Arabidopsis thaliana: one gene and its partner. The protein of the gene in region 1 interacts with the protein of each later gene in a pairwise test. Each region holds a gene or a part of one and is shown on either strand. Other genes may lie near its edges. The genes, in order: AT5G64550 and STY17.

Region 1 (13,351 bases):
ATTTGAATAAACCGGTTTTGGTTATGTAGGTGGGAAATTACCGATGACGTGGTATCCACAGTCGTATGTAGAGAAAGTTCCGATGACAATAATGAACATGAGACCCGATAAAGCAAGCGGGTATCCGGGTCGGACTTACCGATTCTACACCGGAGAAACAGTATACGCATTCGGAGATGGACTCAGCTACACCAAATTCAGTCACACTTTAGTCAAAGCTCCAAGTCTCGTTTCTCTCGGTCTCGAAGAGAATCACGTTTGCCGATCATCGGAATGTCAATCGCTAGACGCGATCGGACCGCACTGCGAAAACGCTGTCTCCGGCGGTGGATCGGCGTTTGAAGTTCATATCAAGGTACGAAACGGAGGAGATAGAGAAGGGATTCACACGGTGTTTCTATTCACGACGCCGCCGGCGATTCACGGATCGCCGAGGAAGCATTTGGTAGGATTCGAGAAGATTCGATTGGGGAAGAGGGAAGAAGCGGTGGTTAGGTTTAAGGTAGAGATATGTAAAGATCTGAGTGTGGTTGATGAGATTGGGAAGAGGAAGATTGGTTTGGGAAAGCATCTTCTTCATGTCGGAGATTTAAAACATTCCTTAAGCATTAGAATCTGATTCTATATTTTTATTTGAGGAAGAAAAAAAGAATATTAATATGCTTAAGCTTTTGCAAGTTGGAAAAGAAAAGTAATAAAAAAAAGAAATTGTGAATCTCTTTAAAATTATAGCATTAGTAGCCGAAAATGTGGGGCATATATAAACATAATTCGAATATCTAAAATATATCATGTGTAATTCATGTGTAACATAAATCTAGCTAATATCAGTTAGAGTTAGATTTATGTTTGGTATTTCAATTTAAGTAAATTTAGTCTTTTTTTTTTTAATTAGTTGCTCAAACTAATAATTCTGATAACAAGCAGATAAACTCGTAGTATATCCCGATCAAAAATAAATTAATTTTTATTTTCTTAATCTAAACTAAACCGGGTTTTGTGTCGAATTTAGGTGATTCGACTCAAATATGAACAACATTTACCAGAAATCAGGGTTATTATTACCGGTTTATTGCGGTTTACATTTTAAATATAAATAAGATTCACCTCTAACAGAATATATCACGTTTTCCTTTTTTTCTGAAACTGTAAAACTCTCTCACAAAGCAAAAAAACCAAACCTAAACAAAAATCTAGAAAGAAAGATTTCCGAAAATCTTTTTAATGAAAAAAGAGCAGACAGGACGAGAATTCGCTTTTCTGAATCCTTTAGAGTATTGTTTTCTCCGTCGAATTCGCATGAACACTTGAGCTCAACAAGGTCAGATTCTCTTGTTCGCTTTTTTTTTTTTGATGAAGAATTCGACTGTTGTGTTGATGCTGGTGCTCTGAATTTTACAGACGGCGTGGAAGTGGACGGTGAGGTAGTTTTTTTTAGTTTTTGAAAGACATGGCGCAAAACGGGTACTTGGTTCCAGCGGATCCTTCGGCGGTTGTGACGGTGAAGAAGAAAACGCCACAAGCGTCGTGGGCTCTTATTGACGCGACGGGACAGAGTGAGCCACTCGATGTTGATAAGTATGAGATCATGCACCGTGTCCAGATCCACGCTCGCGATCTCCGGATTCTAGACCCCAATTTATCTTACCCTTCCACTATTCTTGGCCGAGAGAGAGCCATTGTTCTCAATTTGGAGGTTTGGTTCTGTTTTTTGGTTCTTCAGGCATTCATTGTTTCTGGGTTTTGTTTTTGTTTCAGAGTGTAATTAGTTTTGTTCCTTCTTCTTTATGCAGCATATCAAGGCTATTATCACTTCCGAAGAGGTTAGTAGTTTACTCTTTGATTCCTTTGCTTACCACACTTAGATTTGTAGGGTTTTTGCAGTAAAAAGTTTCGATTTTTATTTTGTTAGGTAGATTTTTTTCTGAATATGCAGATGTTCATGTTAAAGTTTGATTCTTTCTTGTAGCCAGTTTTTCAAAATGCTGACAATGTGTTAAGGAACTTGAGCAATCACTGAACTAGGCAAAAATTTGGCTAATTTTTCAGTTCTGTTCTTACTATGCTATAGTGTGTTGAAAGTTCATAATATCAGCCAGGCTTTGATCTATTTAGCACTATGGAATGCTTAGAGGAGTATAGCTTTTGAGTTCTCTTCTTGTAGTAATGACTTGGGCTTATTACAGGTTTTGCTTCGGGATCCGTCTGATGAAAATGTTATTCCAGTTGTGGAGGAGCTTCGAAGACGCTTACCTGTTGGAAATGCATCACACAATGGTGGTCAAGGAGACGGGAAAGAGATCGCAGGTGCTCAAAACGACGGTGATACTGGTGACGAAGATGGTATTGTCCCTAGAGACTCTTGGCTCTTTTCCTAAACCATCTAAACTCTGTGAAATTCATCTCCTTTTTGATGACCCTTAATTTGCCTTTTCATATATGTTGAAATGTCTGCTTGTTGCAATATAGAATCCCCATTTGAATTTCGGGCGCTGGAAGTAGCTTTGGAAGCAATCTGTAGCTTCTTAGCTGCAAGGACAGCAGAATTAGAAACAGCTGCTTATCCTGCTTTGGATGAGCTTACCTCAAAGGTAGGTACCTCAATGATTTATTATCACCAGTGATCCAGTTTTCAACTACATTTTTACATTCGTCTTGTAGATTAGTAGCCGTAATTTGGATAGAGTTCGGAAATTGAAGAGTGCCATGACTCGGTTGACAGCTCGGGTTCAAAAGGTGAGCAGGTATCTTTTTCTTATGACTTATGAGTATTTGTAAAGTTTGTAATATGAATAGAGAACTAAGTAGCTTCATCGCCTTTTGCAGGTAAGAGATGAACTCGAACAGTTGCTGGATGATGACGATGATATGGCAGATCTTTACCTTTCAAGGAAACTTTCAAGTGCTTCCTCACCGATTAGTAGTATTGGTGAACCAAATTGGTATACTACTTCCCCAACAATAGGCTCTAAGATTTCAAGAGCAAGTAGAGCGAGTTTAGCCACAGTTCATGGGGATGAGAATGATGTTGAAGAACTTGAAATGTTACTCGAGGTTTGTTGATCCTGCACAAAATCTTTTATCTGATTCTGATCTATCTTCCATTCAAATGCCAAGTCCAAATACACACGTCTTGATATCTTTACAGGCATACTTCATGCAGATCGACAGCACTTTGAACAGATTAACAACAGTTATCCTCTTGCTCCCTTTTCTTTCTGTTCTTTTTTGCAGACTTTTTTTACTTTAAAAACTTAATTTTTGACTCTGATGCAGCTACGTGAGTATATTGATGACACAGAGGACTACATTAACATCCAGGTATCCAAAAACGAAACCTCAAAATTTTTAACATGTTCTTGAAATCTGAATATAAGTCATTATATTAAAAGCTAAAACTCGTCGGTTTTCTATTCACAGCTTGACAATCATCGGAATCAGCTTATTCAGGTACGTGAATGTCGAAAGCCAAAGTTTTTTTAATATGTCATCTTCTTTTGTTGATCATCTTCAAAATCCTGCAGTTGGAGCTAGTGTTAAGTTCTGGAACAGTTTGCTTATCGATGTACTCTCTTGTCGCTGGAATTTTCGGGATGAACATTCCATACACATGGAACGACGGTCATGGATACATGTTCAAATACGTAAGAAACCAGAATTCTATTCGCATGAGGATGAAATAAAGATCTCTCTCAAGATTAACTTATGTTTATCGGGGTTTTTGGTTGTTGCAGGTGGTGGGCTTGACGGGGACACTTTGTGTAGTCGTGTTTGTGATCATAATGTCGTACGCTAGGTACAAAGGACTTGTGGGATCTTGATGGCTGAATTTGGGTTAGATGGAGAGATTGTGAAGGGGCATTGGGCAGATCTTGTTTTCGATTATTATACTTGTGGTCGTTCTGAGTTTTGAACGAGCTTCACAATTATTTTAGTTGTCGCATCATAAAATTTAATCAAACATATTGAAAAAAGCAGAAGCATTGTGACTTGTAATTGCAAAGATAAGCTCTACCATCGATTCCTTACAATTAGAGCATAGAAATCAAATTTAGGATCCTTGATTCCTTATTAGCTAGACAACTTTTCAATAATTATCGGTTGAAGCCCGTTTAGACCCGCGGGCTTAGTGCCTATTTTAATATCGCTAGTTGATGTTATAACGTTTCTATTTGAAGTCTCTTCATGATTTAGGTTTCCATTGTCACACACAAAAATGGTGTGTTTTGGATTCTCTTGTAAGTCTTATCAAAAGAGAAGTTTTTGAGATTACATTGGCAGAGAAGATTGGGCTAGAGTTGGGCCTGTTGATGTTTATTTTGAACAAAGTCAATTTAAAATCCATCCAATAAGGAGCTTTAGAAGAAAATATTTTATAAAATAAAAATGTATGCATGCGAACGAAGAAACAAACTCTGTCCTAAACCCTATGCTGATGAAGTCAAAACCTAAAAACATGATGTAAAATATTGCAACAAGGCTTTCGTGTTTCCACATACACATTTGTTACCAGATATGTTATTAAATGATTAAGAAGGTATAAAATATCGTCGACGTCAGCCGTTTCGCGTGGAGAGTTGAGGCCGAAGCTGACGGAATCGCCGACTAGTAAAGATTCCTTTTATTTTATGCCTTTTTTGTACTTTTTCTTTGATATATAATTCATTTTTATTTAAAATATTATGATAGATTCTTCCACTCTGCAAGGAACCTCATTGGCTGACGTAATAGGATTTGCCTCTTGGAACATCATAAAAATCACAATTTCATTCATTTAAAAGAAAATAGTCGTTCGTCTTTATTGTGGTCCTTTGGCGACAATTTTCATCACACCACGACAAAACAATTGGTATCAAATTATATAAATAAATTGTTCTTACTTCTTCTTCTCCCAGCGCACATCTAACATTTTGTTCCTCTCATTAATCACTTCAATTATTTTCCAACGAAGAAATATTTCATTTACGTACATCAATGATATTATTTGCATTGTTTCATATTTTTGTTTTGTTTTGTGATTGTTTCCTACTATACATATAACATATACAAATTACAATTGATGTTTGAATATGTATGTTGCTTGAGTAGAGGAAATTTGAACGTTTTCGCTTATAGTCTTATAGATCTAGATGTAAGTACAAACATAAAATAAAGAAACAGAATCACAAGTCTTTTATTTCGTTGAAGCTTGATACCACAAGTGCTTCGCATTTGGATAGTGGAATCTGATTAAATTTTTTTAAACAATACTAGGTTTAATGATGCCAGCTAATTCTATATATTTTTTACTCCATATTCCTGGCATGAGAAAAAAATAATCGTTTTTCTGTCTCGTTTATTAACAAAAGCGTCACATAAAATGACAAAAACAAACATATACATACATCAATTAAGTTCGAAAGACTCATTCAGCTGATATCATCATTACAAACATTCACAATATCCCAAAAAACAATATAAATAAATAAAAACCAAGTGTTCATAAAATTACGATGACGTCATAAGAAATTAGGGAAGGAATCAGTTCTGACCGGTTAAGACGGTAATCGGTTTAATACTTTTATTAATTCAGAGAAGTGACTTGTCGCAACATCACTACCACTCGAAAGAAAACAGAAAACAAGGGGCATAAAAGACTTTGTCTCCACTAAAGACGGCGTCGTTTTCATCGAAAAGCAAATTTTAATTGATTACCCAAAATAGAGCGTTGTCTCATCCAATCAGAACCGTTACTATCGACGGAGACAGAGGGTATTTTGGGTAATTCATTGGGATTCCCTCACTCGCGGTTATAAACGAGAAAGAGAGAACCTGAAAAAGCCTAACACACAACACAAACACGCTCATAATAAAAACCATAAAAATATCTCCTCTTCTCTTTTTTCTCTCTTTTTTTGTAGCCCCGCTAATATTTCGACACCTGTTTCAGTCTCTTTTTTTGTTTCATTCTTCTTCTTCTTCGTATTCCTCGATGTTTTAGACGAAGCAGGGACTCTCAGTTTACGAGTTACGGAATCTCTCTCTGTCTCAGATCCATCAGGTTTTTTCTTATTCCTTCTTTAGTACTGTTTTTTTGTATCTTGTTATTACTGATTGATCGTGTTATATTAATGAATGCATGGTTTGTTTTTGTTTCGTTTTCTGAAATTTGTTCAGCTTATTTCTCTAATTGTCTCTTGCTCTTTTTAGGGTTTATCTTTTTTTTTTTTTTAAAACCTTCATGATGTTAACTTTTTAGAGTACGCATGATGATTTCTCTAATGATTGTTTGATTAACTCTGATTATAACTTTGATTAATTTTTTTGTTGTGAATTTAGATCTTCTTCCTCAAAGTTAGAAACTTGTGAGATATAGAGATTCAGAATCTTTGTTGATTCCATTTTTGTTTAATAGTAACAATTAGTATTTCCTTAGATCTTGTTTATTGAGTTTGGATCTTTATTTTACAACCTAAAATCGTGAGACATTGCTTCTTGTTATCACTTATCACTTATCAAACACAAAGTTGACTTTCCATGTTATATAAGAAGTTTTCAAAGTCTTAACATTATTCTGATTTTGCTTGAATTATTTTGAGTAACAAAAATTATTTAGTTTTTTTTTTTTTAATACTGTGTACTAATCTGTAAACCAATCTTATCTTATCCTTTCTTTCATTCTGTTGTTTTGGGAAATTTCTAATTTTTCGAGCATAGAAAGATGTGTCCTTCACGTTTCACTTTTACCTAAGGCTAAAATGTTGCCACCATTAGTCATTTTGGTTGGTACTTGGTCCTTTTCAGACACAGTTGTAGCCAATTATTGGTCTCTGTACTTTGAATCTCTTAACATCACAAGCCGCAACTTGTAATTACACTATTGACTCAAATGCTTTTCTTGATTATTAGTCTCGTGTCATTGTAATGTTATTGATCTTCTTGCTTAAGCTTTCTACTAACAAGATTTTGTAACTGCTGCAGAATAGTTTCTTGCGCAAACCCATTCTTGAAGATGGACAGGGCAGATACATGGGGATTTGTCAGCGGTGGGAGATGTTTATATCTCAAGTTGCTTTTATGTTTATAGCTCTACAAGGTGGTGTTCTAAGTATTTATTGTTTTGGTCATTCTATCTCCTCCGCTGCATTGTTCTGTCTCTTCTCTTCATATGGATTTGAACGAGAGTGTTGTTCACTTTTCTCGTGGCAATGGTATTGCAAAGCTTGACAATTTCGGCGATACTGCTCTTAGCTTGAAATGTCTTGGAAGCAGTGCAGGGAGATTGATTGGGAGCTCTCACCATAACCATAAGCTTTGTTCTGATGTTTCTAATTGTCCTGATGGTGGTTGCCGGTTGGTTCTCGGTTTGGGTCCAACACCGCCTTCGTATTATTACAATGTCAGGGTCAATGATAATAACAACAAAGGCTCTGCTTCTTCTGGGAGTGTTCAGGAACTCTCATCAGGAGGTAACTCAATCCTGCAACTTGGTCCTCCTGCTGTGACCATGGATACTTTCAGCGGACTTGAGGGTTCTCTGTTGACATATGCGGATACTAATGTGTCCCAAGCTGCTGTTGATGAGGGTTCTACCTCAGCAAGGCGATCAGGTGGCTATATGCCATCGCTTCTTTTCGCTCCAAGGACGGAGAATGTTAGAAAACCTTCAAGGATGCAAGAGTGTAGTACTAATTGTGGAACTGATGCTTATAATTCACAGCTGAGCCATGAGTCAGAGTTCTCTGTAAGCGCTTTCTCTGACAGGTCGGCCTCTGCCACGTCTTCTCAGCAAAGGATGAGCAACCCGAAGAAGTGCAAGTTTATGGGATGTGTTAAAGGAGCTAGAGGAGCTTCGGGGCTCTGCATTGGCCATGGAGGTGGCCAGAGATGCCAAAAGCTAGGTTGCAACAAAGGTGCTGAGAGCAAAACTACTTTCTGCAAAGCCCATGGCGGAGGAAAGAGATGCCAACACTTGGGATGCACAAAGAGTGCTGAAGGCAAAACCGATCTCTGCATATCACATGGTGGTGGAAGACGGTGTGGATTCCCTGAGGGATGTGCTAAGGCTGCACGTGGCAAATCTGGGCTCTGCATCAAGCACGGTGGTGGTAAAAGGTGTAGGATTGAAAGCTGTACACGAAGTGCTGAGGGACAAGCTGGACTCTGTATTTCCCACGGTGGTGGACGGCGTTGTCAGTCTTCAGGCTGTACAAAAGGTGCTCAAGGAAGTACAAACTACTGCAAAGCTCATGGTGGTGGGAAACGCTGCATATTTGCGGGATGTACAAAAGGAGCGGAAGGTAGTACTCCGCTTTGTAAAGCACATGGTGGAGGAAAACGCTGTATGTTTGATGGTGGTGGTATTTGTCCTAAGAGTGTGCATGGTGGGACGAGTTTCTGTGTAGCTCACGGTGGTGGGAAGAGATGTGTTGTGGCCGGGTGCACTAAGAGCGCTCGTGGGAGGACTGATTGTTGCGTGAAGCACGGTGGTGGGAAACGGTGTAAGTCTGATGGTTGTGAGAAGAGTGCGCAAGGTAGCACTGATTTCTGTAAGGCACATGGTGGTGGGAAACGTTGCTCATGGGGAGGAGACTGGAAATGCGAGAAATTCGCTAGAGGAAAGAGCGGTTTATGCGCTGCGCATAACAGTATGTCACAAGATAAAGCTGGAAGCAAGGTTGGTTTGATTGGACCGGGACTTTTCCGTGGCCTTGTCTCTACTTCTTTACAAACCACAACAACTGCAACTACTACTACTACTACCACTGATCATTCTCAATCTGGAGTCAGTGCGGTCTCTGATTGCATGGACTCCATTGATCGCCCGCTGCCACCGTTGCATCATCAACCCGAGAAAAGACAGAAGCTGATGATACCAATGCAGGTTCTTGTGCCTCCATCAATGAAATCCTTAAGCTTCTCAAACACCGAGAGACCCGATATCGAAACAAACAACAATAGTAGTGGCAGCAATGGGAGGAACATATTTGACTTTATGATTCCTGAGGAAAGAGTTCATGGTGGCGGGCTTATGTCTCTGCTTAATGGTAACATGAAACAAACACTCCGTTGATGGAATCTGAAAGCTTCCTCTCTATGTGGTAACAACAAGGCTAGAGTCTGTGTAAAGCTTCATGTAATATGTATAGTTTTTTGGTTTTCTTTTTGTTTCTCTTTCACTCTTGGGTCCTTTGTACATTTCATGGGTCTCTGTTTTTGTATGGTCTCTGGTCTTGACTTGACCATCTAGTCGATGGCTTGAACCCAAGTCTTTGTTTATTTGATCATTGTTATGAATGTTGCAATGTACAAGTAAAATGTGTTCTTATGTTTTGTACCAAAAAAAAACAGAGCTTACTGGGTCGAATCAGCATTTCCGGTTAAATAACTTTTGGTTTAATTCGCCTTGACCGGTTTAATGGAAGGTCAAAGAAACAGCGTCAAAGTCAACATACAGAAACAACCAAACCAAGTCATCAAATGGATAACGGAATCTTTCCGCCGTTATATTTTCCGTTAGCCCTATATATACACCGAGGCGGTTAACAAACATTTCGTCTCTTTGAAACTAATTTTTTCCCTCTTCTCTCTCTCTTTGGCCGTGGAGATTTTTCTGAGCAAGCTTCGTGATGCTATCGAACCAGAGGAAGACGAATTAGCTTCTCGATCACGATTCTTTTAGGTATGTGATTATGATTTAAGTTCCGATTTCGAGCTTTAGGTTTAGCTCTATCGCGATTGAATCTGTGTTTTTTTCCCGTTCCCGATTCCTCTACAACCCTAGGTTTTGATCGGAAATTTCGGTTCTTCTTCTTCGTTTTCTACTTCAATCGTTCTCGCTTTTGATTTCTTCAAGTTCTGATGATGATTATCGGTAAATTTCAACCTTGGATCTTTGGTAGATTTTGCTGTTGTCTCGTGAATATTCATCGCCAGTTTTGGCGGGAAAATGTTTCTGCGGTGGTTTGTTTTTGATTGAATCTGAAACTTACTATTGTCTTGTGCTCTCGATTACATTCTTCAGATCTTATCGGAAAGCTTTAGCGGCAGAGAGAAAGAGTGAATAAGTCGAGACTTCTCTGGTGATTTGTTATTTTCTTTGTGGTTTTTGGTGATTGCAAATCCTCTGGTGATGTTGATTAAAAAAAGTCTCATTTTGAAGTCTGGTGATACAAGGATCCACAAAGGAATCTCAGATTCTCCTACTGTAGCAATATGATGGACAAAGACGAGCCGTTTGTCTACAACGAGGTGGATTACAAGACCCCAAAGCAGAGTCCCCAGACGTGGCCGATGGATAAGATCCGGCAGAGCCGTTTTCAACATAAAATGTCATCACTTTTGAGTCCGGTGACTCCTAAAAGGAATTACAACATTAGCAATGCGAAGACACTCCTGCTGCAGTGTTTACGGGACGCTAAATCAGATCCACTCCCTCCTAGGCGCTTTCCGGTTTCATGCTCAGATGAAGGAATCTTGATGGATGGTGTTCTGGTCACATCAGCCACTAAAAAGAAGGTGTATGAGTCTCCTTCAAGCTATCCAGGACGATCAGCACGTTCTTCAATCTTCCGGAGTCAGCTCAAGAAGACTACAGAGTGTAGCAGCCCTATAAGCGATTCAGGACCTAACCAGGTTCGTCTTTCGCTCTTTATTGTTTACATATTTGTGAGATTAGAATCGGTAAGAACATCACTGACTTACTTAAGAAACATTGCATGTGATATTCCACAATGGTCACAACATAGAGTTGCTAGACGTTAGTGACTTGATGTCTTTCGATGACTGTTTTAGATCAAACGAAGCTGAATCAGATAATGTTGGAAATGTCTATTTTTTGTTGAACATGATTCCAAGTATAGATGATGCTGAACTTCCAATGCATTGATCTATTCAGGAGAAGCAAATATTGTGTATCATTGTCGCAACTACGCTCACATTTATGTATTGAAATGTCTGTTGAGAGTTCTTTGGTGATTTTGCAGGAAACCACTCGCTCTCAGCAATCTTCTTCAGCTGGCAAGGAAAATATGCTGGCAAATAGTCCTTGTACACCAAAGGTTTTTACTTTACAACGCATTGTGTATCAGGATTTCTGAAGAATCATAAGTTTATAACCAGTTCTCATTTGCTTTTATCTGTGTTTATTAGGCTGCTAAACCTTTCAAACTGCAAGCTTCTGCTGAACCATTCATCCTCACACCAAGACAAGCTGCTTCTCCTTATACACCACAGCAACTCCCATATGATCATTATAGTCCACAGTTTCCATGCGCTGTAAGTTTATCTCAACTCACACTTTTTCTTCAATGATAAACCCTTTTTGTTTCAGAAACTAACTCAGACTGCAATTACGTTTGCAGAATCCCCTGCACCTGCAGCTATACCCGTACCTGCACCGGCCTCGGTCTCTGATCTACGTTTATCAGAGACCACCACTTTTTCCGCTCTTACCCCATGGGCCTGACCCCTATACGCTAGATAGTCAAAAGGACTTTCCTCCAATTCTCTCTGGCAACCAAACACCAACCACCAGTTCACACTCAGTACCCACAACACCTTCCTCTAGCCAGCTCAACACAACTACCAGCGACTCACCAGTCCACACTCCCATATCTACTACTCTTACAGTCGATCTCAACACCAGTACTACCACCTCCACCCATAGCTCCTCACCTTCTGTTGATAGACTCGATACAGTGGCCCAAATACCAGACTTGTCGTCGTCACCTTCTGATGGACTCGAAACAATGACGCAGAAACCAGACTTGGCTTCACCTTCTGCTGGACGTGAAACAGAGACGCAAAAACCAGGCTTGGCTTTACCTTCTGCTGGACTTCGAACCATGACGAGAAACAAAGACTGGTCACCTTCTGATGATGGACTCCCAACATTCACACAAGATCAACTTGTTTTCATGAAATCACATAACAGGCTCTTCCCAGATTATGTTTTCGGGCGTTACAAATACAAGAAGAGGATGTCAGCTTTCAGACATCAGGAGGAGCACCAGTAAAACGAAAAGGTAACATTTCTGTTCATAAAAAAGCTTCTAATCACCACTATATGTCTTCCCATCCGTCAAACTTTTGTCAGCTTTTCATAGGATTGTTAAAAAAAAATCATGATTACATATATACATAGAAAGCTAATAAATAGACAACAAACCAAAGAGAAAAACAAGTTAATGAAATATATGCACTCTGTTTCTTAATCAAATGCATCTTCTCTTGTTTCTATTGGTTTGCTATTCTGCATTCCAAGAAGCAACTAAACACTAGCTTAACGAAATCCACGTTTTTTAGCTTAACGAGACTGAAATCTTGATATTTGCTATGCTACGTAAAATTCCACATACAATTAGAACGTCTCTGGTTCAGAACAACAATATCAAATCGTTTCTTGGTCAAAAACCCATCGTGTAGATAGGTTTCCATATTGTTTAGGTTGAAAACATTATTCTAATTATGAGATAGTTATACATAGTAACACCAAAACCATAAAAGTTCTTCATATTCAATGATCTTTTAATCTCTCAACCCAACTTGAAAAATCTTTCAATTCCTATTTTATAAAATTATTATTTTTATGTGTGCGAAGGTGCTTGCATCATACATGAGTCAGTGCTTGCTAAGCAAACACCCATAAAAATATATACATAGAAAAATTAAATAATTATAATAGACGTAGACAGACGATGTTGCTTGGCTCGGCGACACAAGACAACTAACTACTAAACCCAATCAAAGATCTATAGAAAGAGAGACTGTAACTTGGAGAAAAAGGCTCTCAATTGCCCAACTCTATAAACAATTAACAATATAGAAAATCCTACCCTAAACCGGATCAGGTGTAGGCCACACGTATATCATCAAATTTAGAGGCCACACTTGCAAATTTATGTACTTCCAACATAATTTGCTTATAATACTCAAATTCTATCATTTTTATTCTGTAGCTTTTTGTTCTCTTTAAACTTAGGACTGACTCATCAAAAATAGAAAATTTTCTCACCAATTTCTCAAAAGTTACCTTTAATTTATCATCTATCATCTCTGGTTTCACAAAGAGAAAAAAAACAATTACTTTTTTTCGTACTTCTCGAGAATTTAGCTATGAATTAGAATGTATTAGTACACAAGTGTAATCTGATCCTTAGATGTATTAGTCACCAAAACATAGGGCCACAACTTACTTTTGGAAAAACTATTTTCCAAGCTGCCTGTCCTCTTCCATCTAAAAAAGAGAGAAACATAATTCGTATTTGTTGGTTTGTTTGTTGAGTTAAAAACTAGAATCAGTATAAACTTTCAAGAAAGAAAGAAGAACCAAGAAAAAAAAAAAGTTAGTTTGGTTTGGTCTCTATAACTT
Region 2 (12,246 bases), on another chromosome or scaffold:
GCTTTTCTTCTTCTTCTTCTTCGTTTCCTTCCACCTGAATTGTTGTAACCATGGCGGAGAAAGTATCGGAGGACGTTATGCTTCTACACGGTGACCTCGATTTGAAAATTGTTAAGGCTAGGAGGTTACCTAACATGGATATGTTCTCAGAACATTTGCGCCGTCTCTTCACCGCCTGTAACGCCTGTGCTAGACCCACCGATACCGATGATGTCGATCCCAGAGATAAAGGCGAATTCGGTGATAAAAACATCCGTAGCCACCGTAAGGTTATCACCAGCGATCCTTACGTCACCGTCGTCGTTCCTCAAGCGACTCTAGCTCGAACACGTGTTTTGAAAAACTCACAAGAGCCTCTTTGGGACGAGAAATTCAACATTTCTATAGCGCATCCGTTTGCTTATCTCGAGTTCCAGGTCAAAGACGACGATGTTTTCGGTGCTCAAATCATTGGCACGGCTAAGATCCCGGTTCGAGACATCGCATCGGGAGAACGCATTTCTGGTTGGTTTCCTGTACTCGGTGCTTCGGGAAAACCGCCTAAGGCAGAAACTGCTATTTTCATCGATATGAAATTTACTCCGTTTGACCAGATCCATAGCTACCGATGTGGAATCGCCGGAGATCCGGAGCGTAGGGGTGTTAGACGGACTTATTTCCCTGTGAGGAAAGGAAGTCAGGTGAGGCTTTACCAGGACGCTCATGTTATGGACGGAACGTTGCCGGCGATTGGGTTAGATAACGGGAAAGTTTATGAGCATGGGAAGTGTTGGGAAGATATATGTTATGCTATATCTGAGGCTCACCATATGATTTACATTGTTGGTTGGTCTATCTTCCATAAGATTAAGCTTGTTAGGGAAACAAAAGTTCCAAGAGATAAGGATATGACGCTTGGGGAATTGCTCAAATACAAATCCCAGGAAGGTGTTCGAGTTTTGCTACTTGTATGGGATGATAAGACTTCTCATGATAAGTTTGGGATAAAAACGGTTAGTGTTTTCACAAGTTCTTTGGATTCGTATTGCTATTTTTGAGCTTTTGGATTACTAGTTGTAATGTTAATTGGAGTTTCTGGTGAGGATAATTTATGTTTTGACAGGTTATTTGGTGTTTTTGACATTAAGATGTTGTGTGACATTTATTTTGCAGCCTGGAGTTATGGGGACACATGATGAGGAGACTAGGAAGTTCTTCAAGCATTCTTCTGTGATATGCGTTTTGTCACCCCGGTATGCCAGCAGTAAGCTTGGGTTGTTCAAACAACAGGCAAGTCCTAGCTCTTCTATATATATCATGACAGTTTTTGTTTGGTATGATGTTGATATGTTTTAGCTAAGGGGGTTTAGTCCCGCATGATGAGGGTTATTGCAAAGTTGGAAATTAGTTAATGTGGATGCTTACTTTCAATTATAAGAGATGTTCTGACTCTAATCCATGTCGCACCATTGTTTCTCGATTGTTTAGTTAAAGGCTCTTTCAACATGTGGGTATCAAAATGTTATGTCAATTTCGGCTTTGGCATAGTTATTATCTTTCCAAGGGATATCTTTTTTGATATCTGATGTTTAATGGCCAGGTTGTTGGAACTCTCTTCACGCACCATCAAAAGTGTGTTCTTGTAGACACTCAGGCTGTTGGTAATAATCGCAAGGTCACCGCTTTTATTGGAGGTCTAGATCTTTGTGATGGCCGTTATGACACACCTGAGCATAGGATACTCCACGATCTTGACACTGTATTTAAGGATGATTTCCACAATCCTACATTTCCAGTAAGTTTATTATTATATACCGGCTGTTATCAAGCTTGAATCCTAATTCTTTAGTTATTACTGATACATACTCTGTTTTTACTTCCTCAGGCTGGTACCAAGGCCCCAAGACAACCTTGGCACGATTTGCACTGTAGGATAGATGGGCCTGCGGCATATGATGTTCTCATAAACTTTGAGCAGCGATGGAGAAAGGCAACACGATGGAAGGAGTTTAGCTTACGTTTAAAGGGGAAAACTCACTGGCAAGATGATGCTTTGATCCGGATAGGGCGTATATCATGGATTCTGAGTCCAGTGTTTAAATTTCTGAAGGATGGTACTTCGATAATTCCAGAGGACGATCCATGTGTTTGGGTTTCTAAAGAAGATGATCCAGAGAACTGGCATGTTCAGGTCCTTGTTGATTCCTTCCAAACTATACTTATTTCATGTTAACAAATGTTGTTGATTTGATCTAACCACGCGGTTTCTTTGACTTCTAGATATTCCGTTCTATCGACTCAGGATCCGTGAAAGGATTTCCAAAATATGAAGATGAGGCTGAGGCCCAGGTTGGTCAATCAACTTATTTGCTATTATTAATTATCTTCCTTGAAGAATCACCGTTTATTCAATGAAATTTCTCTTTATAAGCCACCACATGGTATAGAAATTGCACTACTTACAAAGTCTTCAATATAATTTAACTGCAGCATCTGGAATGTGCCAAGCGTCTTGTTGTAGATAAAAGCATCCAGACTGCATACATCCAGACAATCAGATCTGCTCAGCATTTCATATATATCGAGAATCAGTATTTCCTGGGTTCTTCTTATGCTTGGCCTTCTTATAGAGACGCAGGTGCATTTTGATCTTTGAGTACAGTTCTTAGACTAGGAAATAAAATACTCACATTGCAGACAGCATGAAGTCTAGAATTGTTCTCAGTTACTAGTTTTGTATTTGTGGCTCTATTTTCACCTCACAGTTACCTGAACTGTATTAAATAAAGCTTAGTAACTTTTTCACCCGCGGATTTTCTGATTCTGTGTTCGTCTTGTATGAGCAGGAGCTGACAATCTTATTCCTATGGAGTTGGCACTAAAGATTGTTAGCAAAATCAGAGCTAAGGAAAGATTTGCCGTATATGTTGTCATACCATTGTGGCCTGAAGGCGACCCAAAGTCTGGCCCTGTGCAAGAAATTCTATATTGGCAGGTAACTTTGTTTAGCTGAGTGTAAGATAAGTGCCAATACCAAAATAGGTTGTTCCATTTCTTTAAAAGAGAAACTTACATTCTGCTAAACATCTTCTGTTCTTTTCATTTCGTAGAGCCAAACTATGCAGATGATGTATGATGTTATAGCAAAAGAACTGAAAGCGGTGCAATCAGATGCTCATCCTCTCGATTACCTTAACTTTTACTGCCTTGGTAAACGAGAGCAGCTTCCAGATGATATGCCAGCCACCAATGGCAGTGTGGTATAATCTTCAAACTTCTAAGACTAAGAATGTTTCATTCACAAAAACTGTAGCTTACAGATAGATAAATCATACATAAAGTTTCCTGTAGTAATCAGTGGAACAATTTCTTTATGATCATTTTAACTGCATTTTTCAGGTATCAGATTCTTATAATTTCCAGCGTTTCATGATTTACGTGCACGCAAAAGGGATGATAGTAGATGATGAGTATGTACTCATGGGATCTGCTAATATCAACCAAAGATCTATGGCAGGCACCAAAGATACTGAAATCGCCATGGGCGCATACCAACCTAATCATACATGGGCTCACAAGGGAAGACACCCACGTGGCCAGGTTTGCCTTCCTCCTAACATCTTCATCATCATCATCTATATCATAACCAAACCTCAAAAGTGTCTCTATATCTACATGGGGAAAGTTTCAAATTCCTGAATCCTGGATTTAAAAACAGTAAAGAAATTTGGGATAGCATTCGATCTTGCGAAAAAAATCACGTTCTTAGATACTTGAGAGAACTTGTGTTTCTACTCCCAGATTCTTGAACCATTATATATATTGAGTCTTCGTAAGACATAAAGAGCTTGATGATATCTCTATCTATCTACACAGGTGTATGGATACAGAATGTCACTATGGGCAGAGCATTTAGGCAAAACTGGAGATGAGTTTGTGGAGCCATCAGATCTGGAATGTCTGAAGAAGGTGAACACAATCTCTGAAGAAAACTGGAAAAGATTCATAGACCCGAAATTCTCAGAGCTACAAGGTCACTTAATAAAGTATCCTCTACAAGTAGACGTTGATGGTAAAGTAAGCCCTCTTCCTGATTACGAGACCTTCCCAGATGTTGGTGGTAAGATCATTGGAGCTCATTCCATGGCTCTTCCTGACACTTTAACCACGTAATGTGAATGTTCAATGTAAATTTCAGCATTTGTTTTGGGGTTTCTTTTGATCCTGAATAATATTAGCTGAAAGTGTTGTTTGAGTTGTTGTACATTTAACTGTGTTGTTTCTTTTTTATACATTCTTTTGTGATTGTCGTCAAATATTTGTTGGGGTGCAAAATGTAGAGATCGTGAGTGAGTGAAGAGGCAAAATAATTTGAGGATATTCTATTTTTCTCGGTTTTCTTTTTCAAAATCGGATAATGATGCTGTGTAACTGCGTTCAAAACAAAATTTCTGCTTCGACTTTTAATGTTAAGATTAGATGTGCCTATCGGTTCTGTTTACCCGAACCAAACCGAAGATTCATGGACACTTAGACAGATCAAAATATTTAATTAGCGGTATTAAACCGAACCAGACCGCAGACCGGAAATATCAATCCGGGACTGATTACGATTATTGTTATTTTCTTTTGTTGTTGCAGACACCATAAGAAACGTGAGTCTTGCTACATGCAATTATTGACTCTTGTAATAGTATAAAATTTTATTGAATAATTCATCTGTAGACAAGGGGGAAAAGAAAGACTGATTTTACGCTTTATTGCTCTCACTAAAACCCTAATTCTCTCCGTCTCGATCGCGACCTCTGTTTCTTCGGCAATGGTAAGCTTCCACGACTAAGTCTCTGTGTTCTTCTTGATCTTCGAGAAATTTGAGGTAATTACTTCGTTTTGCAGGCGGATTCTCCTCAAAGAAGAAGGTTAGATTCAAGTTTCTATTGCTTCGCATTTCGGAGCTGTTATTGTTCCTAAATCGTTCTCTTTTGTTTTTTTACATGTTTCAACAATTTTGAATTGCATTACATTTGCGTAGGGTTGTGAATCTGACGAATTGATTTTGGGAATTTTGACTTTTTAAGATCTAGTATTGGAGTCTTTTTCTATGTAGTTGTAGTTCTTCTTAATTATGTTTTGTTGCAAATGCTATTTGATTGGGTATTTGTAGCTCAGAGGACTGATAAAGAGCTAAATGTTTCTAAGTAACAAGTCTCAGTGTAATCTTTTACTTGATTTCTGCATCAGGGATTCACGATCTCCTTCACCCCGAAAAGAACGAGCTAGATCCAGATCCAGGTCTAGGTCCAGGTCTAGATCCAGGCCCAGGCTTAGGTCCAGGTCAAGATCTTTGCCAAGGCCTGTTTCTCCATCACGAAGCCGTGGAAGGTTAGTTATTGCGCAGTATAGGGTTTTCTTATGTAGATTTTGGGTATGTCACTGAAAATTTCTGAAGAATATTGCGTGGTAATCTTTTTTTCATTACCTGTACACTTTGTAGGTCAAGGTCAAGAAGCCGTGGAAGGTTAGTTCCAGCTTTCTCCATATGAGTTTGCATTCTCTTGTTATCTGTAATTCGTTTGATATTTTTGCGATATTTTGAATTTTGGTTGACAGAAGTGAAGTTGAAAACCCTGGTACCACTCTCTATGTGACTGGCCTATCTACAAGAGTCACTGACAAGGATCTTGAAGCACATTTCGCCAAGGAAGGAAAGGTGATAACATCTATACCTGATTCTCATTTCTCATACTACCAGTTTAAGTCTATTTTGTGTCTGCATTTTTGGGCATATAATCTTTGATCATATAGTTTACCATTTTCATTTCCATAGGTTGCGTCTTGTTTTCTTGTGATGGAGCCGCGCACCCGTGTGTCTCGTGGTTTTGCCTTTGTTACAATGAGCAGCCTTAAAGATGCTGAGCGGTGCATTAAATATCTCAACCAGTCTGTACTAGAAGGCCGATACATAACTGTGGAAAGGGTAAAATTTCATGCTCTACTGATTTTGGTGGTAGTTTGAGATCATTATTTGTTGACTTGGAGGTTTTCTGATCATTCAGAAAATATTGCATCAAGCAACAATCAGAGATGATAAGAGTACTCATCCTTGCTCAACATCATTAAGTGAAACACAGCTTGATCAATCGAATCGCCAGCTTAAACATAATCATAAGCAACTATATTGCCTCAACTCTCAACTCTCAACTAGTCAAAGGACATTATCAAGTATCAACAACTATTAGTCAAGTGTTTCTCCAGCCTAGGATGCATCTTGTTTCCTTGAATATACCTATGGCTTTTCTAGATTGAAAGTTGTGTTCCATTACATGAGCTTTATGTACTTTGTGCTTTCTTCAGTCCAGGAGAAAGCGCCCGAGAACTCCCACCCCAGGCCACTATCTTGGCTTGAAAAGCTCCAGAGACAGCGGTAATTGAACATTTCAAACCTCGTAGTTATTATTGAGTCTCTCTCTAGACAGATGAAAGGTTGCTAACTGTTCCGTAATCTTTTTGTTGTTTTGATAAAAAAGATCGAGAAGGCCGTAGCAGTCGAGGGAGGCACTATGATCGTGATGATTACAGAGACCGTAGGTCACCAAGACGCGACTATTCACCTCGTGATGAAAGAAGGTCTAGAAGAGATCGGTCTTACTCTCCTCATGGAAGAAGCCCAGAGAGAAGATCAGAGAGAAGGTCTGAGAGGTCAGAGAGAAGGTATGAACCCCGTGGCTCGAGATGACCTGTTTTCATCCTTTTGACAAAGGATTCAAAAACTTCTCTGTTGATTTAGGTTGTGTAATTGATCATCCTTAAAATAGCACAAAGATTCTGTCAGGCAACGCTTTGGGTTTCATTTATTTTCTGTTGTTAACGTGTTATTCTGTCGGAACTCTCTGAAGTGAAAACTAAAAACTGTAATAGCTTCTCTGTTATGTCTCTACTCTACTTGTTTTTGAATGAATCAGAATATCTTATGTGATTAGAATCTTTAGATTGTTCGCAATTTTTTGTTAAACAAAAAGGTGGAGATACCAAATTAAAGCTTGAAAGTTGAAACTTAACTAAAAACAAAACCCCAAGTTGTGACCAGAGACAAAAATAATCAATCGTATATACTTGTTTAATTATCGAATACTAACACAAACCTCATCAAGAATTGGCGTATTTGTGCCAACAAAGCAACATAAGAATACATCTTCTAGCTATATAAAACCTAGAACGTCTCTCCTTCACCATGGCTAAACATCCTTTATTCCTCCTCTCCATTGATTCTCTGCAACATTCTTCTTCCCTTTTCCTCTTTCTCCTCATCTTTGTCGCCGATGAGCATTGCCCCATAATTGTTCTCTTCTCTTTGATTACTTCGTTTCTTCACACTTTTACGTTATTGCTCTTTTTGTGCTCTACGGAGAGATGATTTTTCGTTATAAAAGACAAATGGAAGAAGAAGAAGAAGAAGCAATATTAAAGGGACCAAATGTGAAAAGAGTGGAGAGGAAAAATAAAATGAAAAAAGACTATAAATAGAGGAGTGGTGGAGCAATGATGATGCGATGACGTTCAACATCATTAAGTTCTTTCATTTATTTACGTATTCGTAAAGAAAATATATTATTTCATTTTGCATATGTACTTACGCGATTAAACAATTCCACATTACTACGCTTTATCATTGTTACTTAAATCGTTTATTAGTGGAATAATTGTCTTTGTGTCTAATACCATAAAAGATAGTACTAAAGTCTTCATATGACTAGATCATCCCTTCCGTTTTTTAACGTTAATTCGTATGTTACATTTCAAATCATTTATTGTGGCTTATTAAAGATATACTATAATGTAAGGATCGGAGAACTAATGGTGATCATGTAATGAAAGACAAAACATTGTCACATATATTGTAATTATTTTTGGTTTTCGTTATTAATTAATTGTTAGTATCTTCCGGATTTTGATTCATAAACCAACCAAAAACGCGTCTCAGGTGGTTTTAGCGTACCCGACGTTGCAACTGGCTTATCTTTTTCCTACACGTGTCTTCCTCTGGTTGGTATTATATCATACGTGTAAAATGGACTTTTACCTTAATTAACCGCATCTTATGGTCATCAATTCATTTCTTAAGCTACTTTTTTAATTTATTTGTATGACTTTTCTTATCGTTACTTATTTGATTAAACCTTTCTTACGCCATTTTTTTTTCTCGACAAGTATGTTGCATGAATTCATATTGGAGAAAAATTAAAGATCAAATAGGATTGAAATTGTTTGGTAAACCGCATCCAAAACCGCACCGCAACAGTGCTGTAACAGTATCAAAATCTCTACATATACATATGTATCTATGTATTTTCGTTACTATTTGAACCGCACTGCACTTTTTCCGCACCGCAAAATGCAGTCACCATTCGGACCCTAAGTTTAGTTATAAGAAGGGCTTCTTCGTAAACGCAAAAGCAACGTACGTCAGCATGAACTGGTGGAAGAGAATAAAGTATCTGGAAGAAGAGAAGGCAGTAGTGACCAATCATTGGTACTTGATTGGTTTACGCCACGTCATCACACTTTCCTTTCACAGCTGTATAATATTCCCCTCTTCTTGTTTTTTCTTGACAAAAAGAATAAAAATCATTTTTTTCATTTTCTTATTTTTATTTCGGCTGATCATTTTTCCAGTTTCTGGATACATTTTATGATTTTAATTACCGAACCAGATATGGGATATGGTTATAAGCGTCGTCATATGGATATTGTTGTCGCCATTTTCATTTTGTCTTTAACTTTGCGAACGTTGCCCACTTGCCACTTTATTTACTTGTGTTAAAGTGTGTAAAATACCAACACCAAGCAAATATGGGCCACAAGGCCCGACAAAAATGATCTGTTGCGTTAGGATTGAAATTTGAAAGGCCTATTATCATTTAGGCTCACTCGTACCTCGTACGTATTGCTATTGCCTATTGGTTGTAACAAGATCAACTTTTATGTAATTACCAATATTAAACTTATAGTGTTATACAACAAATAGTGAAATAAAAACAAACATGTCCATTAATATGTCATCATATTTGTATCATAAGTAGCAAAACATAAAAAAAAATATATATAAAAAAGTCATCACCATCCACCATCATCTCCTTTTCTTTTTGCTTCATAAACATGAAAACCACCATACATTTATCTCGAAGCCAAAAAAGCAAAACTGTCCATTATCCATTTAAAGCATTACAATAACTAAAAAAATAAGAGTATTCTCGTGACCCACACTCATATGGACCCTACATAATGACGTGGATGAGTCCTACGTGTTACACAACGAAACGTTCATGTCCTCCCTGGCTTTCAACCCAAACTCATACATTACACCCTCTCTCTCTCTTCTCTTCAATTTCCGTCTTCTCACTCTCTAATCTTTTCGCCTTTAGTTGAATCTCTGGGATCATTCTACCTTTTTGTGGATTTAGGATCGAAGAAGAGATCACTCCTACTGTTGAATTCTGGTTTTACTTGAGAGAGTTTTTCAATTCTGATCTGCTGTTTTGCGATGGCGATCAAAGAGGAGACGGAGGAGAGTTGCGGAAGCAGAGCCGTGGTAGCTTCAATAACGAAAGAAAGCCCTAGACAGCACCGTATGAAACTGGAGGTGTACGGTGAGGTTCTTCAACGAATCCAGGAATCCAATTACGAAGAAGCTAATTTCCCTGGTTTTGATGATCTCCTCTGGCTTCACTTCAATCGTCTTCCTGCTCGGTAATCTTTTTGGATCCTATGATAATAAATGTTTTCAAATTTGACTTCCTGCTGAAATGGATTTTGTGTATAGATATGCTTTGGATGTAAATGTTGAGAGAGCAGAAGATGTACTTACTCATCAGAGATTGTTGAAATTGGCTGAAGATCCTGCTACTAGACCTGTTTTCGAAGTTCGTTGTGTGCAGGTGTGATCATTTAACCATCTTCACCACTTTTTAATCTTGCTTGCTTGCTTCTTCATACTTCCACTTTTCTTACAGGTTTCTCCCACATTGAATGGAAATTCTGGTGACGTTGATCCTTCGGATCCTGCGGTCAATGAAGATGCTCAAAGCTCCTATAACTCGAGGTCTCTTGCACCTCCAACTTTTGGTTCTTCTCCGAATTTCGAAGCTCTTACTCAAGCTTACAAAGATCATGCTCAAGACGATGATAGTGCTGTCAATGCACAGTTGCCTAATTCTCGGTGAGATATATACTTTTGACACTTAACTTACTTGAGTCTTCTTGTCTGCATATACTTGAAGAGGCGTTCTTTGTAGCATGGTATCGTCTGTTTTGCAGGATTATTTGATTTAATTTTACAACCATGTGTGGTGATATTATCCTTTGTTGTCTATCTTATAGACCGATGCACGAAATCACCTTTTCTACAATCGACAGGCCGAAACTCCTTAGTCAGGTTGGTGATGTTGCTTCTTCCATTTCTTTTTATGTCAGCTCTGATATTGGAAACATGTGACTTTGTGTTCTTTTACAATTGCTTTTTCTCTTCGTTTGAGTAGAGTGATGTATAGGATTCCCTCTCTACTTTTAAGGATCCATTAGATACAGTCATGTAGAGAATGGGTGGTTATGTTTCTATTAAGCCATTATCTGACTGAGAATCGGTTTGTTTTCTTTCCAGCTAACTTCCATGCTTGGTGAACTTGGATTGAATATTCAAGAGGCTCATGCTTTCTCTACCGCCGATGGTTTCTCTCTCGATGTATTTGTTGTTGATGGCTGGTCGCAGGAGGTATAGTTTCAGTTTTCTGTATGGTTCACAACATCTTTCAGAACCATCATGTTACTTGTGACTGATGGATTAAGTAAACGACTTTGAAAGATTTTGACCATTGAGTAAATGACTTGTGACTTATGTAATAAGTAAATGACTTCGAAAGATATTGACCATTGATGACCTTTCTGCCCCTGCCATCTAAACTGGTTGCAACTTTATACACTTTTGAAATACAGGAAACAGAAGGTTTAAAAGATGCATTGAAGAAGGAGATAAGAAAGTTTAAGGTATCTTTTGTTAGTCTATTGTCATGAGCATTCCTTATCTTCATGAGATTCCTTATATTAGACTCCATGCCACATTCATAATTTAAATTCCGAAAGTGCAAGTAATGGTTTAGAATTAGCTCACTCCGAAACTGAATGCACCACTGTACTGATGTTTTTTTTGCTATGTTTTGAATCAATTTTGATAGTCGTCATGTCTCCATATTCCACACTGGCTGCTCTGCAGGATCAACCTTGTTCAAAACAGAAATCTATCACTTTCTTTGAGCATGACAAATCAACCAACGAGCTGCTACCTGCGTGTGTTGAAATACCTACGGATGGAACTGATGAGTGGGAAATTGACATGAAGCAGCTCAAAATTGAAAAAAAGGTGGCATGTGGATCATACGGGGAACTGTGAGTTTTCATATTCAAAAATCTTGTTTTTAATACTATATGAGGAAATTAACAGCTATATATTCTTAATGGCTATGCAGATTTAGAGGAACCTATTGTAGTCAGGAAGTAGCTATCAAAATTCTCAAGCCTGAGCGTGTTAATGCGGAAATGCTACGAGAGTTTTCTCAGGAAGTATATATAATGAGGTGTGCTGCAATTTGATTCTAATTGCAACTCGTACTCTTATAGTATATGTATTCTAATAAATCTCCAAAAATTCCATTTCATGGTGTATACGTAGAAACATGCATGAGTTTCCCTCATTTTCTAACAACCAGTGTCCATTGAACAAAGTTAATATTCAGAAACATCCACTACTGATACTTCCCTATTTGTAGGAAAGTTCGGCATAAAAATGTTGTCCAGTTCATTGGTGCATGTACACGATCACCAAACCTCTGCATTGTGACAGGTAAGTTGTCAGTAGATTATGAATAGGAGACTGGTTCCATCTAGATCGTTTTTTTTGTTGGTTTTGTATCTTCAAGCGTGGTGAGAAAGTTGTTTCAGCAGGACATTGAGGTTCTATAGAGTATTGTTTAGTAAATACCGTAACATTTCATTTCCTAGTTTTGGCCTTTACATGTATTCATGGTCGGATGATTTTATCCTTTTGTATCAGAGTTCATGACTCGGGGGAGCATTTATGATTTCCTTCACAAACACAAAGGGGTTTTTAAAATTCAATCTTTGCTCAAAGTGGCACTCGACGTCTCGAAAGGAATGAATTATCTGCATCAAAACAATATTATTCATAGAGACCTTAAGACTGCTAATCTTCTTATG

The links.
Region 2: the proteins of AT5G64550 (region 1) and STY17 interact in a two-hybrid assay, tested with the Arabidopsis thaliana proteins (one large-scale study listed by BioGRID).

Annotation. Positions count from the first base shown.
Region 1 is NC_003076.8:25,797,495-25,810,845, reverse strand, and holds AT5G64550 (loricrin-like protein), read left to right. Parts: upstream 1-5,865; 5' UTR 5,866-6,040; intron 6,041-6,960; 5' UTR 6,961-7,147; coding exon 7,148-9,052; 3' UTR 9,053-9,318; downstream 9,319-13,351. Other genes in the region: XYL4 (beta-D-xylosidase 4), read left to right, coding at 30-619; MGT9 (magnesium transporter 9), read left to right, coding at 1,451-1,696, 1,794-1,823, 2,187-2,343, 2,470-2,591, 2,662-2,736, 2,827-3,054, 3,149-3,193, 3,277-3,321 and 3 more; AT5G64540 (mucin-like protein), read left to right, coding at 10,195-10,614, 10,965-11,039, 11,131-11,256, 11,343-11,996.
Region 2 is NC_003075.7:16,947,680-16,959,925, reverse strand, and holds the start of STY17 (ACT-like protein tyrosine kinase family protein), read left to right. Parts: upstream 1-9,305; 5' UTR 9,306-9,520; coding exon 9,521-9,726; intron 9,727-9,799; coding exon 9,800-9,914; intron 9,915-9,989; coding exon 9,990-10,195; intron 10,196-10,356; coding exon 10,357-10,411; intron 10,412-10,636; coding exon 10,637-10,747; intron 10,748-10,968; coding exon 10,969-11,019; intron 11,020-11,245; coding exon 11,246-11,418; intron 11,419-11,498; coding exon 11,499-11,606; intron 11,607-11,798; coding exon 11,799-11,872; intron 11,873-12,082; coding exon 12,083-12,246. Other genes in the region: PLDDELTA (phospholipase D delta), read left to right, coding at 51-992, 1,153-1,302, 1,580-1,774, 1,865-2,170, 2,260-2,328, 2,470-2,617, 2,826-2,974, 3,090-3,239 and 2 more; AT4G35785 (RNA-binding (RRM/RBD/RNP motifs) family protein), read left to right, coding at 4,799-4,801, 4,876-4,898, 5,221-5,361, 5,474-5,497, 5,590-5,689, 5,807-5,956, 6,334-6,403, 6,507-6,715; RTFL6 (ROTUNDIFOLIA like 6), read right to left, coding at 7,126-7,314. UniProt on the Arabidopsis thaliana protein: Serine/threonine protein kinase that specifically phosphorylates chloroplast precursor proteins in the cytosol within the cleavable presequences (transit peptides). May be part of a cytosolic regulatory network involved in chloroplast protein import.